Notamacropus eugenii: one gene and its partner. The protein of the gene in region 1 interacts with the protein of each later gene in a pairwise test. Links are inferred from orthologs where the notes say so. Each region holds a gene or a part of one and is shown in the gene's direction. Other genes may lie near its edges.

What was found.
Region 2: the proteins of GPS2 (region 1) and SESTD1 interact in binary tests that used the Homo sapiens proteins (3 or more experiments, as listed by UniProt). The two-hybrid records come from large-scale screens. The link is inferred for Notamacropus eugenii from reciprocal best matches to the Homo sapiens genes GPS2 and SESTD1.

Annotation. Positions count from the first base shown.
Region 1 is NC_092873.1:78,711,250-78,719,002, forward strand, and holds the start of GPS2 (G protein pathway suppressor 2), read left to right. Parts: upstream 1-4,698; 5' UTR 4,699-5,130; exon of another isoform or gene 5,131-5,289; intron 5,290-5,641; 5' UTR 5,642-5,742; coding exon 5,743-5,836; intron 5,837-6,236; coding exon 6,237-6,346; intron 6,347-6,443; coding exon 6,444-6,583; intron 6,584-6,777; coding exon 6,778-6,857; intron 6,858-6,965; coding exon 6,966-7,048; intron 7,049-7,402; coding exon 7,403-7,553; intron 7,554-7,660; coding exon 7,661-7,750; intron 7,751-7,753. Other genes in the region: NEURL4 (neuralized-like protein 4), read left to right, coding at 277-435, 837-1,016, 1,295-1,382, 1,685-1,792, 1,985-2,129, 2,811-2,923, 3,050-3,218, 3,530-3,734. UniProt on the Homo sapiens protein: Key regulator of inflammation, lipid metabolism and mitochondrion homeostasis that acts by inhibiting the activity of the ubiquitin-conjugating enzyme UBE2N/Ubc13, thereby inhibiting 'Lys-63'-linked ubiquitination.
Region 2 is NC_092876.1:242,524,669-242,532,546, reverse strand, and holds the start of SESTD1 (SEC14 domain and spectrin repeat-containing protein 1), read left to right. Parts: upstream 1-4,631; 5' UTR 4,632-5,259; intron 5,260-6,344; exon of another isoform or gene 6,345-6,402; intron 6,403-7,878. UniProt on the Homo sapiens protein: May act as the primary docking protein directing membrane turnover and assembly of the transient receptor potential channels TRPC4 and TRPC5.

The DNA of each region.
Region 1 (7,753 bases):
TAGAAGAGGGCATCTTTTGCTTCACAGCCACAGGAATAAAGTCAGCGCTCTTGACTCAGAACTTCCTTTCTTACTGACACCCTTGCTAGTGAGCCTTAACTTTTTTCACCTAGAGAGGAAATCATCCAAAATTATGTCAGAAACCAAAGTTAAAGCACTCTTCTTCATATCCGCAGGGGATGTGATATGTCTTGTTCTTCCCTCCCCTGTCCCACCCAGTGAGACTACTTCCTGTGGGTCAGTGGCTGCTAGGAGGTAATCTCCCGCTTCCCCCAGGTGCGGCTGGACTTCCTGAACCGGCAGTGGACTTCATCCCTGGCCCTTGGAGTCATTGCCTGCCCCCCTGAGCGGCTCAACTTCCCAGCTTCAGCTTGTGCCCTCAAACGGGCCGCCTGGCTACTTCGGGGCCAGGGTGTCTTCCATAATGGCCTCAAGGTGGGCAGGACATGTAAAGAAGGGGAACAGTCCTGTAGGCAAGGCAGATCCAGTGATTGGAGATAATTGGGATATCAGGAAAGGAAAAGGCCCTGAAAAATGGAATGGTATAGGAATTTGGGGAGTCATTGGAACAAATGGGGTAAAATACAAAGGTAATGTGAACCTAAAGAAGAGGTAATAGATAGACCCAGAGAATGGGCCCTGAGTGGGGAAAAGGTAAGAACAATTGTTGGGGGAGGGGATTGTAAGAAGGGAAGCCTGGGAATAAAAGGGTAAAAGTGTATAAAGAAGTGTATGTTTGTGGGGTGACCAGATGAGAATATTGGAGACTGGGTATTGATATTGGAGGGGTGGGGGTTTTTGAGAAGTGGCTCATTTCTCATGCTTCTGTCCCCCAGATCTGCGAGAAGTATGGGCCAAACCTGGACACGTGCCCAGAAGGCACGGTGCTGGGGCTGAGGTTGGACGGGTCTGGGGGGCTGCACCTCTATGTCAATGGTGTGGACCAGGGTGTGGCTGTGGCTGAGGTGCCCCAGCCTTGCCATGCCCTAGTGGACCTCTATGGCCAGTGTGAGCAGGTCAGCAGGGGGTGGTTGGTCAGGAACAGTGCTGGAAGGGGGGAGGAATCTAGGAAGTTAGAGGAGCATGGTGGTGGTGGTGATTTAAAAAGTTAGAATTGGGGGTGTAGTGAAGTTTTTATGGGGTCGATGGGACAAACTGGGGAGTTTAAAGGGAAAAGGAATTGAGGCTGAAGGGTTGGATGGGAGGGGAAGGGATGTACAGTGGGATTGAGAAAATCCTTTGTGGTAGGGGAGAGCAGCAGACCAAAGGTTAACCAACCCTTCTTCTTCTCCAGGTGACAATTATGAGCCTTGAGACAGGAGCAGCCAATGGGGAGGGAGCTGGAATCCAGGGGGACATGGAGAAGGCTGATGTGGTAGATGGTGAGGCTCAGGGAGAGCCTGTACTATACAATCCTGCTGGAGAGTACTTTGTTACTCTTAATTCTACTTCTGTTTTTGGACACCTGTCGTTGCCTTAATATGAAACTCTTTGCTTCTTCCCCAGAGAATCATTTCTTCCTGACTCCTCCCTTCCCCCCACCTCCCAAACGCAGTCACTTAAGAAGTTGAATGAGGCAGATGTCCCCAAAATATGCCCTGCTCCCATCTTCCCCCCAGTCCCCATTTTACTGTTTTCTTCTCTCCCCACACCTTCCCTACTCTGATTTGGCCCTACCTTTCAGGCATCAAAGAGAGTGTATGTTGGGCCCCACCTCCAGATGCCAGTCCTTTAAAGAGTTGTGAATACCATGCCCTCTGCTCTCGGTTCCAGGAGTTGCTGCTACTGCCAGGTGAGACTTGATCATTTTATCAACTCTCTTTTCTTGGGACACTAGAGTTGCTTTCCTCAAACCCCCAAATAGTTTGGGGAGAGGGGGAGGAGGGAATGAGCTCATTTCTGAAGGCTGACACAGATGAGATATAGAAATAAGGATTCTTTAGGAAATATAGCCCCTGAATTCAACCTTTCTCTTCTTTGCCAGAGGATTACTTTGTCCCACCCCCCAAGCGAAGCCTGTGCTACTGTGAGTCCTGTCGGAAACTTCGGGGCGATGAGGCACATCGTCGTCGGGGGGAGCCGCCACAAGAGTATGCCTTGCCCTTTGGCTGGTGCCGCTTTAACCTCAGGCATGTGGCTTAAGGTGGGAGGGGTGGAAGCCTGGGGCAGCCTAGGACTCGATGCCCAGGGAGGGCAGAAAGAGTTTTCTTTTATCCTTCATTTTTAGGTCTAGAAAATGTCACTTCAATAGGATATACAATTTCCTATTCAAGGAAGTGGCATAAATTTACGAGGTGTGCTTTTTTTTTTTGCGGCCCTCTCCCTAGTCCCCCTTTGCCTTCCTAATACCATTCTTTCCCACACCATTGGAAAAAAAAAGGGTCAATGGAGAAATTTTTTCTTTTTAAAAAACAAAAGGTCGGCATAGGGAAGCGCAGGACAAAGCTACAAGTTGAACATCTAAAAGAAAAAACAAGCTGTACTTACGTGCAGCTATTATTAGAAATGTGCAGCTTCTTGTACAATTCTCTTTTTGTTCTATTATATATGTGCAGATACCTATTTTATTTGATGTGTAGGTTCAGAAATTGTTTTTTAGCGTATGATAACAATTAGAAGTGACCTGGCCTGGGAGGTGGAAGACCTGGCTTTGAATTCTCTATAGATCTATACTCCTAGGATCCTGTTTCTTACCAGGCAGTTTTCAGCAAGACAGTTGGACAGAACAAGTCCAACTTTTCCTCTTTGAAAAGAACGGGCTTTGAGGGGTGATCAAGGTCAGCACAGACATACACATTTCTTTCCTGCAGAGTGAATCCACGATTGGAGACAGCAGCACTATCCAAGAAGTGGCATATGGCCTATCATGGGAGTAGTGTTGGGGCCGTTCGGAGGGTGCTAGACCGAGGAGAGCTGGGGGCAGGTAAGAAAGGATAAACAAAGTTGTATGATGATGCTGAGGGGAATGATTGGGGGAAATCAGGTCTTCTTCCATAAGGAGGAGGTATAGAGGGTGGAGAGACCCCTAACCATTACCCTTTCCTTTCAGGCAGTGCTTCAATCCTCAGCTGTAGGCCTTTAAAGGCAGAGCCAGGGTGTGGGTATGGAGAATCTGGTGAAAACTGTGTCCCTCCTCGTGAGGAGCAGCCCCCTCCTGTGCTGCTTTCCCCCTCCCTTCGGCATGCTGCTGGGATTGATGCCCTTGCTTCCAAAGTGCAGTGAGTGAAGGAGACTGGGGGGTGGGGGTGGGAACTGAAGTCGGGGTAACTAAGGAGTGGGGGACATTGCTGAAACCTAGAGTGGGGTCCCTAAGCCTGCTTTTTTTTAATGTCTTGTTTCCATTAGATTTTGGTTCCAATCTCCCTCTTCTCACTTTTCCCTTGCCTGTTGGTTTCCCCATGCCCTTCCTTCTTTCCCTCTATTCCGCAATTTTTCCACTATGTATTTGCACATTTCTACCCTTTGCTTCCTATGTTTTTTTTTTTTCTCATACTGTCCCAACAGGCCCTTCCTTCTTTCTTGTCTTTAGATTCCGGGATCCCAAATCTCAAAGGCCATACCAGGCCCAGGTGGCATTCCAGGTGTGTGTACGTCCTGGATCCTACACACCTGGCCCACCCTCTACAGCTCTTGGGGGCCCTCCTGACCCCCACTTTAGCCCTGCTGAGCTTGAGTGGGTGACCAAGGAAAAGGGTGCCACATTACTCTATGCCTTGCTGGTACGAGTGGAGTGAGAGGATGTGGGCCTATATTGCCAAGCACAATGACAGGGAAGGTTTATGGACTTTGGAAGCACCAACTTTTTATACATTCCCCCAACTGTTCCCAGGGAAGAGAGTGGACATGATGGGAGTTTCCCAGATTTCCAGGGGGCGTTGCATTTTTGTTTGGAGGAGTTCCCAGTTTGGGGGGGTAGTAGCTCTCCTGGGTTGGGGATTGCCCACAGATTTGGGGAAATTGTAATGGTCCAGAACACTTCTCTGTCTTGACCCCACTACTTCCCTCCCCTCTCCTCATGCACTGATTTGGGGAAACTCCCATCACTTAATTTATTTGCGTTGTTTCTGGTTAATGTGAATCCCCAGAGGGAGTTGCCTCCCTCCCCTCTCCGTTGAAACTTTTTCCATTGGGAAGGAATAGCCGGGGGAGAAGGGGCCACCCCTTGTACAGCTGTTACATACTCTGATTTCTTAAAGAACTGAAATAAACGTCCTGTCTCAGATACAACTTTGTCCCAGTCTCCACTTGCACTTATCTAGGGAAATCCTAGTCCAGGAGAGTTCCAAGGAGCGTCCCGCCTGAGCCTGGGCAAGTCACTTCCTGACTGCAAAGTGGGGATAAGGCCATGTGCTTCACGAGGCTGTAGTGAAGCTCCGTGAGCAGATGCCGGGGGTCAGGAAGGGGCGCTGTCCTCCGCGTCTTCTCTCTCAATGCTGTGTACGTCCTGGAGAGTCTTAGGAGGAGAGAACTGATGGGCCCCAACGCCCGTGCCGTCTGCCTCGGTCCCGAGGCTGCCACAGAACCTTCCGCTGCCCTTGTGCCTCAGGGTCGGCATTGCCGCTCACTTGGATCACTCTCTGCAGTTCAGCGTTTCCCCGAGCGTGCGTCCCGTGGCCTCCCAGGGCACGGCCTGGGAAAGCCCGGGCGGCGTTAGTGAGCATTAAAGGACGCTGAGGGATCCCGGTGCGCAAGCCCCGTCACCTGTAAAACACGGAACGGCTCGTCTGGGTCTCGGCCCCGGCCCCCGCCTTCCAGCAGCAGCCGGGCCTGGCCTTGGGGTTAGGCTTTCAGGGGGAAGGAGCCCTCCCAGCGCTGGGAGGAGACGCGGGAGGGTCACACGGTAGAAGATCGGCGCACCCCCCAAAACATCCCACTCCAGCGCCCGCTACGTTTACTCCACGCCTCCACGGTTTGTCTGGGCGCCGGCCAGGCGAGCCCGGAGCAGCCCGCGCAGCCGCCGTAGCTTCCCTTTTCCCCAGCCTCTTCCGCCCTTCCGTCCCCTCCCCCACTCAGGCAGTGTGCTAAGCTTCGCCATCGCTCATCGGTGGCCCCGGAAGTACTTACTCACGAGTCAGGAAATGACGAAGTCCGTGAGGCCTGTAGGAGGGCTGAAGTGAGAAGGAAGAGGAGGTAGGTAGGGAGGGGCTGGGGGCCTGGAGGTTTAGTCCGAGACTTTCGGACCCTGGTCGCGCCTGCGCAGAGCGGGGTCACCGCTGGTAGCTGCTGGACAAGTGGGGAGGGTGGGGAACCCAGTGTGGCACTCGACCCCAACCCCGCTGGCTGGAGCAGGTGATGGGCTCGAGGGGGTGGCGGGGCGCCTGACGGGAGAAGCACGTGACCTGCCCCATACGCCCCAGCGGTGTCGCCTCCGGAGTCCTGATGCTGTCTCCGGCCCCGCCCTCCAGCCCCGCCCGCCCTCGGAGCCCAGCGGACGGAGTCCGGGGCCAGGGCGGGGTGGGGGTCTGCCCTCCGTCCCAAGCACGGGGAGCTCAGCCTCCTTCTACCCCCACCCCCCCAGCCTTGCCTGGCTGCCGGGTCGCGGTGGAGCCTTCGGGGTGGTGGGGAGGGCTCTCAGGTTCCCCTTTCGCTGGTAGGATCCCCGCTTCCCCTCTGTGATCATGCTTATCCCCCAACCAACCAGATTTCCGCTGGGTGACCAGATTCATTTCTGGGACTGGACTGTCAGTGATCAAGTCTCAGGATCCGTACCCCAGTTTGTGTGACAGCACCCTGCGGGTCACCATGCCGGCCCTTCTGGAACGCCCCAAGCTCTCCAATGCCATGGCTAGGGCACTGCATCGACACATAATGATGGAGCGGGAGAGGAAGAGACAGGGTGAGTGAGGGTGCTAGCCAGCCCAGAGCTCCGAGGGAGCAGCAGCACGTGGCAATCCCGGACGAGGCCTTGCATGTTAGAGGTCTGAACTCCAGAGGGAGGGGAGGAGCAAGCGTCCGTCTAGCTCCTGTAAAGCTGCCTTGCGAGAAAGGTGCAGTTGTTTCCATTTCACAGTTACGGAAAACTCAGGCAAACAGGTTAAGTGACTTATCCAGGGTCACACAGCTCAGACGTGCCCGAGGCCAGATTTGAAAAACTACTGTCAGTTCTCATAGTTGTGGGGTCTTGAATTGAGGCGTCACTTTCCCTGCGTAGGCCTGTTTTCTGTGTTAAATATGAGGGGTTGATGTCTGAGATTCCCTTCTAGCTTTAAGGTTTTAACCCCATGCCCCTCCCCCAGAGGAAGAGGAGGTAGACAAGATGATGGAACAGAAAATGAAGGAGGAACAGGAGAGGAGGAAGAAAAAGGAAATGGAAGAAAGGATGTCACTGGAAGAGACCAAAGAACAGGTAAGCAATTTTTACACACACACTAATCTCTTTACTCACCCTGCTCCCCTTTCTGCTCTGGCCGACCTCCTTTTCACTGTCTCCATGATCCTCCTAGATCCTTAAACTGCAAGAGAAGCTCCTGGCCCTACAAGAGGAGAAGCACCAGCTCTTCCTGCAGCTCAAGAAAGTTTTACATGAGGAGGAGAAAAGGCGTCGTAAGGAGCAAAGGTGGGGACATGGAGGGCCTAGACTAAGGTATGGCTTTGTGAAATGGGAATGTGGTATCAGGAAGAGAATGAACCCAGGTTCATATCCTATGCCACCTATATAAATCTTAGGGAATCTCATTCTAATTTTTTAAATTTAATATCTTTGGAACTTTTTCTTCATCTGTAAAACTTACAAGGTTGCCTACAGCTTTGTCATCTTTGATCTTATTTGCCCTTCAGTGACTTGACAACACTTACATCTGCAGCATACCAACAAAGTCTGGCTGTACACACAGGGACACATCTTCTTAGTATGCAGGGTGAGGTGGACAAGGGGAAAGGGTGGGTATAGGTGGGGCAAGGATCATGGAGGTGGTTTGAGACCTCCTTAGAGCCTGCAGCCATCTGAACCCTACACCTCATCACAGGCAGTCCTGGAGGACACAGCAGACCAGGAACCCTTATGTCTGCTGATAGAGCCAAGCAGATGTTTGGACCCCAAGTGCTCACGGTAAGCAGACAGGGATCCCTGGCATTTTAATTACCAGTGGCATTTAATGTGCTGTGATGAAGGTAAAAATGTCAATGTAATCTCCCCTAATTATAAATTGTATTATGGAGTTATGTGATTTTAGAGGTAGATAAGGTGATGAACACATCTTACACTTCCTGCGTGACCCTTGAAAGTCACTTAGCTTCTCTGAACTTGTCTCATTTTTAAAACACATTATGTATGTAAATTGCTTTGCAACTTCTATATATGATTTCCAGCTATCAAATCAGACAACTTATCCTGACAGTGTGTTGTAAGCTTGTACCTAATATTTGAACACTTTCCAATCTTAACTCTCCACATCTTCTCCAGACCCGTCATTTTGTGGGGTCAACAGCTTTTCCAGGAACCTCAGAACATGGGCAATTCCAGGGTAGCCCAGGAGGGGCCTATGGGGCAGCCCAGCCACCACCTCACTATGGACCTACTCAGCCAGGCTATAGTCCCAGCCAACAGCTCAGAGGTGAGGGCAAACACCTAGAAACAGGGGTGGGGTGGGACAGGCAGTGAAGATTTTGGAGAATTTGGCTTGTGGATGGTCTTTATCCATGTCTGACTTCCTCCCCTCAGCCCCTTCAGCTTTTCCTGCTGTTCAGTACCTGTCCCAACCTCAGCCCCAGTCCTATGCAGTACATGGCCACTACCAGCCCACACAAACAGGTA
Region 2 (7,878 bases), on another chromosome or scaffold:
TAATACAAGTCTTCTGCCTCCCAGTTCAGTGTTCTGCCATAACAGAGGTATTCTTTATTTAAGGAACTGGATGATCTGTTTTGAACTTAGTGGATGAGGGTATCAGTGTGTTATGTAAAATATTCAGTTATGCCACTATTCTGAGGATAATGATAAGAAAAGAATGTCAGGTAGTACAAAAGTTTTATTATGATAAACAAAGAATGTTAGGTAGTTCAGAGGGGAACATTAAATGTGTGGCACAATGGAATGAACACCATAATCCCTTTATTTATTTTTCCATCAACAAGCCCAGATCTGTGTTCACAGGTGCCTCTTTCAGGATCAGAGCTAATAACATCTCCTCTTTATATTTCTTTAGTTCCTTCCCCCTCTTCTACTCCCCCCCCCCCACAAAGGCATTACTTCTTTGTTTGGTTTGTTTTTTTTGTTCCATTCCCCTTCCCCCTTGCAAAGAGCTCGCAACCATAAAAGGCTTTTCTTTTAAAAGAGTTTATTACAGCACAGTAAAAGGAAAACATACTTAGGGCTAAAATGAAAAAGGGAAAAAATGATGATGTTAACAGAAGCCTGGCCATGAATAGCTGTCCTGCTCACAAGTATACTGAAACTCGTTTTTAATCTATCTTGGTTCTACCTTCTCTCTAGCCTAGCCAGACTGTCCTATCTTATAGATCTTCCTGAGTCCTTTCCCAGACATTCATTTCCCACTCTCACTCTCTCTCCCTCCCCTTCAACTTTCTGGAGCTGCTCTTTTTCAGAGAATAATAATATAAACTTCATAGAGTTGTTCAGAAGATCAAATGAGATCATGGAAAACACTGCATAAATGTTATTATATTAAACATCCTCCTGAATTAGAATAGGGGAGTCACAGTTCATAGATTTATAGCTAGAAAAGACCTTCGATTTCGTATAGTTCAAAGTCTTATTTACAGGTAAGGAACTTGAGGATAAGAGAAGTGATGGTATTTGTCCAATGTCATATAATGGCAGTAAGTAACAGAGCTCAGGGTTTGAACTAAGGTCCTTCAATTAGGGTTACTCACTGAAGCAACTAGAACGAAGACTTTGTGAAATCAAGGGAATTTAAAATAGGAAAGGATATTTGTTTATTTTTTCCTGCTATTTTAGTTATTCAATCTAGAATCTGCATTGGGGCAGCTAGGTGGCACAGTGATAGAGTGTTGACCTTGGAGTCAGGAAGATCTATCTTCCTGATTTCAAATCTGGCCTCAGACACTTACTAGCTGTGTGACCTTGGGCAAATTCATTTAACCCTCTTTGCCTCAGTTTCCTCATCTGTAAAATGAGCTGGAGAAGAAAACAGCAAACCACTCCAGTATCTTTGCCAAGGAAATCCCAAATGGGATTTCCCACAGAGAATTGGACATGACTGAAAAGTGACTGAATGACAACAAAAGAATCTGCACTAGAGAAGTGAGAAAGGAGGAAACCCACTCACAAACATGTGTCCTGCAAAGATTTATTAGGTGTTCTTTACAGCCAAGTGGAGATAGGGGTGCGATGATGCAGGATTCCAAATCTGCATCTAGTTTGGGCTGATGAATAGTGTGCCATTTCTCTAGATGACTTTCCGGGACAGGAAAATCCCATCTCTGACATGTATTGAAGTTGTTCCCTTCTTTGAGGGGGTTCCAGGATTGGTGACTGGGAAATCCAGATGTTATCAGTTACCACTACCTCAAAATCTGCCCTTTGGGGTTTTTGAGTACAATGATAGATAGAGGAGAATGAGAGTTTGAGATTTAAAATGGTTTCCAATTTACTCAAGGTTAGTTAACAATTGGGATATAGAAGATCTTGCGTGTCATACTATAAAATTGAGTGCTAAAGTGCACATTGGTATATTGTGTTGCTGAATTTTTGACTGGTATTTATTAAAAGTGGCTACAAACTTCCAGAATGAGGCCAGACCCAGATTAAAATGTAATGGAATGTTTTATATGTGTATATGTATGTATGTACACAGGCACGCACATACACACACACCTATTTGTGTCTAGTAGTAGCCATCTGGGGGAGACGGAAGAAAAAAGGAAAAAAAAGAAATTTATGTGATAATCTTTTTTTTTGATATTTTATTTTTTATTTAATTTTGTTTTCAGTTTTCTACAATCACTTCCATTTATCTTAGATTTTTTCCCCTCTCTTCCCCTCCTTACCCCCTCCCTCTCCGCTCCCTCCCCAGATGGCATGCAGTCTTATATAGGTTCTACACATACATTCCTGTTAAATACATTTTCACCTTAGTCATGTTTACATGATAATCTTGTATATTTGAAAGCAATAGCAAGTTGTGCATAGTGAATTTGTAGTTTCATGTGCAATCATCTTTTTATATTTTACTATGTTATGGAAGTGCTTATTTTACTCCATGTTAAAAATAAAATAAATTTTAAAAAAACTTTAGAAAATTAAAAATTTATATAAAACAAAAATGTAATTGGGAAATTTTTAACAAAGTAAATAAAAATACAACATAGATAATGTTACTTTGTCATTTTCTAAGTTAACATGTCTCTATTTGGTTTTGACATCACTGGTATAGAATACTGTACTAGGCTAGTGTGGGGAACACAAAGATGAATAGGACCCCTATGCTTAGTCTCTTATAGGTCACAGTCAAATAGAATGAGAGGAATCATATACAAATAACAGTAACATTAAATGAAACACGATGAGAGCAAAGTGCTACAGAACCTTGACTGGTTAGGTCAAGTAGGTTTCCTGGAGGCCGTGCCACCAGCTTGAATGCTAAGTAGAATATCAAATAGACAGAAAAGAAGGGAAGTCATTTCAGGCACTACTGGTCATGTACAAGGTTCACAAATTGCCCAGGGAATCCAGGTCAGAGGAAGGAGGAATAGTGGCTGTGCAGGCCTCATAAACCTGGTTCCAAGGCCTTGTGAAAACCATTCTCTTCTTTACACACCACATTTCCCCATTGATTCTGACAACCCTCTTCAGTCATATTTATTTCTTGCATAACTAAAATCCTCTCTTCCTGGAGGCCTAGCTGAGCTCAAAATAAATAACTAAATGTGCAGGAATCAATCAACATGTATTAAGCACCTACTATGTGCACTTTACTAAGTGCTGGGGGTATAAAAAAAAGGGGAAAAATGCCTTCAAGGAGCTCACAATCTAATTGGGGAGCTGAGAGATGAATTGTCTTGTGCATGGATCAGCAAGGGTGTCATTGTCAGTGGGTGGAATTGGGGAAAGGACTAAAGTATAAGAAGACTAGAAAGGCTGAAAGGGGCTAGGTTATGAAGGTCTGAACACCAGAGGATTTTGTATTAGATCCTGGGTGATTGGGAGTCACAGGAGTTTATTGAGTGGGGGAGAGGTGTGACATGGTCAAACATGTGCGCTAGGAAATTACTTTGGTGGTTGAATATAGGATGGATTACAGTGGGGGAGAGGGTTGAGGGAGACAGACCCACCAACAGGCTATTGTAATAGTCCAGACATGAGGTGATGAGAACCTGCCCCATGGTGGTCTCTGTGTTAGGGGAGAGAAGAAAGAGATAATGCAAGAAGTGAAATTGAAAGACTGGTAACAGTTTGGATATGTGGGAGTGAGAGCTAGGAGTTTAGGATGACATTCTAGGTTGCAAACCTGGGGGATTGAGAGGATGGTGTTTGTTGCCTTTGGCTGTAATAGGTAATTTTGGGGGTAGGTTTTAGGGGCAAAAATGAGTTTTGTTTTAACATTTCTACTGGGCTTCCAACTCAAGTTGTCTGAATGGGATGCAAGATGGGAAAATTTTTGAGGGACAGATATTGGGAGATCCTAATCAAGGGAAGGAACCAGCAGGGAACAGAAATTTCTTGGTGCTTGCCAGCATTGTCATCCTTGAAGGCTGAGGTGGTTGTGGTGAAGGGGGTAGTTTCCTCAGTAGGCTTAGATCCCTCAAGTGAGGTCCAGGGAGTTAAACTAGATATATTTGTAGCTTGGGGTGGAGCAGGAAGGAGAGGCTGGAGGAATGGGATTGGGAGATCAGTAGTACTGATGGGCTAGGATAAGGAAATTAAATTGGCAGGTTAAATTTATTAAAATATCTAATGGAATGGGATAAAAGTAACTTATTCACGGAGAAAAGGAATGTAATAGGTTTTAATGTAAGAAAATGGAACAAGGTCGGTAATGATGGGAGTGGAAGCAAGAGGGAAGAGGTAGCTCGTATACTGGAGTAATCAACAATTTATATTCAAAATGATTAACAGTTCGATGAGCACTGGGCTAGGAACAGGGTAAGAAGATTGTCCGCCTGGAATTACAATAGATTTTTGAGAATTCCATCATATATTGGTGGCATAGGATTTGGCTATACCCCCAAATAAGAAAACAAGCACTGAAATCAAGACTCTTCCATCCTCATTTCTTTCCCTTAAATTCTCTACTACCAATTACTCTCCCTCTCTGGGTCTGTTTCCTCATCTGTGAAATGAAAGAATTGAAGAGACCTTTTTTGTCCAATCCTAACAATCCCATTCATTAGTGCTACCTATTCCTCTCACAGGGTACTTGGTCTTAACCCAGGGAAGCTCAGGCGCTAAGTGTCTGCCATGCTCAGGAGACCCTAACAAGTGACCACAATCAGAGGGCTTAAGAAGAAGGACAGTAGCCTCTTCCAGATTTACAGATGGAAAGGACCTTGGAGGCCCCCTCCCCACTTTTTTTTCTTTTACAGATGAGGAATCAGAGGTGACTTGTCCAAGGTCCCCACACAAAGTCGGAGGTGGGGGAGTAGGTGGGGGAGAGGATAAGAACTAGAATTCGTGGTAGTTTGTAGGGTTTTGGAGCAGAGATGGCTCCGGAATGGACTAGGTCCCAGATCCTCGGAGCACCCCAATCCCCATGGCCCCTCCCCGTGATCTCTGGGGCCACATAGGAGGAAGGGGGAGGGGCCGGGTACTTCGCACACCACAGGGTTCAGGTTCGGGTCCCGGTCGTAGTGCGGGGGTGGGGTGGTGGAGGGGGCGCGCGGGGGGGGGGTGCGCGTGCTCGCGTGCCACGGTGGGGGAGGGGAGGGCGCGCGGGCGGGGTGTGAAGTGGGTCACTGGGCCGCCGCCGCCGCCCCCTGCCTGACGCACGGAGGGGCTGGGACAGCGATTGCCGGGAGTGACTGGAGCCGCCGCCGCCCGCCTGGGCCCGCCCGCCTCCCTCCCTCCCTTCCCCGCGTCCTTCAGAGCCGCGCTCCGCAGCCGCCCGCCGCCGGAGCCACCCAGGTGAGTGTGCGCCCCCCGCCCGGCCCCAGCCCCGGCCCCGGCTCTGGCCCCGGCGCGTGCAGGCCCCGAGGCCCGGGCCGGAGGGGAGAAGGACGCGCCGGGCCGGGCCGGGGCCGGGGGTCGCCCCCGCGGGGAAGGAGAGGAGCCGCTTGGGAGGACCGGCCCGGCCCGGCCCCGTAGACAAAGCACCGGGCAGCCCCCTCCCCAGCCCCGGACCTCCGTGCGTCCTAACGCGCCCCGTTTTCAAACGGAGAGAACCGGAAAGGAGGTTTTTTGGGAAAAGACAGTTTAACATTTCCAATCCAAAGGGCGGGGGGGCCGGGGGAGTAACAGGTCTGGACGGTGGCGCCCCCTCCCTCCTTTCCTCGGGTCGGGGTCTGCGGCGATTTCCCTCCCATCCCAGCCCCGGGGCTTCGCTTCCTTTGTGTAGCCCTGTACCGGACCTGCCCGGGGGTGGGGGTAGTACCGGCACGGGCTCCTCCACCCCCTCGCTCCCCGGGCCTGCACGATGGGAAGGTCCTTTCAGCTTTGGGAGAGCCACAAAAAGGAGGAAGATGGTGGTATCCTGCCGGAGGAGCCGCGTTTGGGTGTGTTTTTTTTTAAAAGACAGATTGGAGAGCCAAAGCCGGAGATAGCTAGCTAGCTGGATGGATGAATGGATGGAGATATCCTGAAATACTTTGGGTCTAGGCAACATATTGCCTAGACCCAAAGTATTTTAGGGTGTGTATATATGTATTGTAAATCTATATCTATATTTAAATCTGTCTATATCCACATTTTTAATCTACATAGAAATATCCATATGGATATAGGCAGATGCAGAGACATAAACATTCTCTATATCTGTCTGTATCCATATATCTATATCCATTTATAAAGAGAAATTGCATATACCGAAAGTATTTTAAGATATATATCTACATATTTACATCTGTCTGCCTCTATATTATATATTTCTGTCTATATCCATATATAAACGTATGGTGAAATTGAATCTCCCTAAAATATTTTAGGATATATACATATATATATTTTAAGAGATGTTATTATTAATTATTTTCTTTTGACTTCCTATTGTGTAGGTTTATTGGCCCTGTTTAGGATTGGCCCGATTTAAGTCACAATGGCGTTAGTGCTTTGGTATCCTTTTTGTTTTCTCCCTCACACAATCTCAATGAGATTGAAGTGCTTTCTAGCTACTCTGTAACTAGGGTTTGAAATTGACAGGTCACTTACTTTGTTAGCTTTTCTTTCTCATTACCAATCATATTGTTAAGTGGCAGCTACTAAGGTCTCACCTTAAAATTGGCATCCTGGAATTTCATTTACATCGAGAATATTAATTTTTTAGATGAAAAAGCCTTTTCTTTTTTTAAAGGAAAACTCTTACACCTAGTTGCCTTTACAACTCATTTTTGGAACAATACAAAATGAAAGGAACATATACTCCTGTTACCTCCTGTTCCCTCCCCTTCTCTTTCTCTCTCCCCCCCTCCTCCCCAGTAAAATACTTCATTGTTCTGGAACCAGGAAACCTGAATACTTTTAAGTGGATAAAAGCTGGTAACTGTTTTTGCCCTGTGACTAAATACAAAAATCCCAAAGGAAGTGGCAAGCACATGGTTACACACTTACTCAACATTACAGTATTTTCTTTTTGTGCCCAGAATACCAGGAAATAATTTTGCAGCATATGTTTATGCAGTAAACATGTTTATTCACTCATTTCTTAGACTAAAATTAACCTTCAAACAAGTACCTGTGAAAGCACAGACAGGAAGATTAATTAGTTGTTGTGGCATATTTTGAACTTGATCTACTTAACAGCCACGATCTAGAAGTAATGGGAGACATTTTAGAATAAGTGAAAGAAAAGTCAGAAGAGCTTAGAGGAGGGTTATGGAGGAGCATCTACAGTTTGTATGATTACTGGAAGGAACATAGTATTAACTCTGACCTAATTTTATAAATTAAAAAGAAACTCAGGCCCAGAGAGGTGGGGGTGACTAGCCTAGGGTCATACAGAGTCTAGTAAACTTGGAGAGTCTATACTGGAATCCAGGTCCTATTCCATTGCTGGTGTTTTCTGTACAAGTTAAGCTTGCTCAAAGCTACACTGGTATTAAGGACTAGGATTTAGGACTAGAAAGACTGACTACTGCTCCTAAACCAGTGTTCTTTGTACTTAAGTTTGTGGCATTTTAAATCACTATTCTTATTTCGTAGATGTCTGATAATTAAATGTCTGCTGTTCAGATAAACCGCTAAAACGTCACTCACTATTCCCAATTCATCTTTCACAAACATTAAGGGACTCTTTGAGGTGAGCACCTTCTTTATCTCTTTTCCATTGACCCTGAAGAAACTTAAAGCTGACAAAGCAGACTTTAAAAACATCTAAGTCAAAAAATAAGCCCAACTTGAAACACGTTACTTTTACTTCAGTATTAACTTACAACTGAATGTTTTTATTTTTATTAGTGTTAACTTTTGTTTTTATAGTAGGAGTCAGGAAGACCTGAGTTCAAATCCTGCCTCTGACAATTTTAATAGCTGTGTGGACTGGCCAGATTCTTAGCTTCCCTGTTTAAGTTTCCTCATCTGCAAATTGAGGAG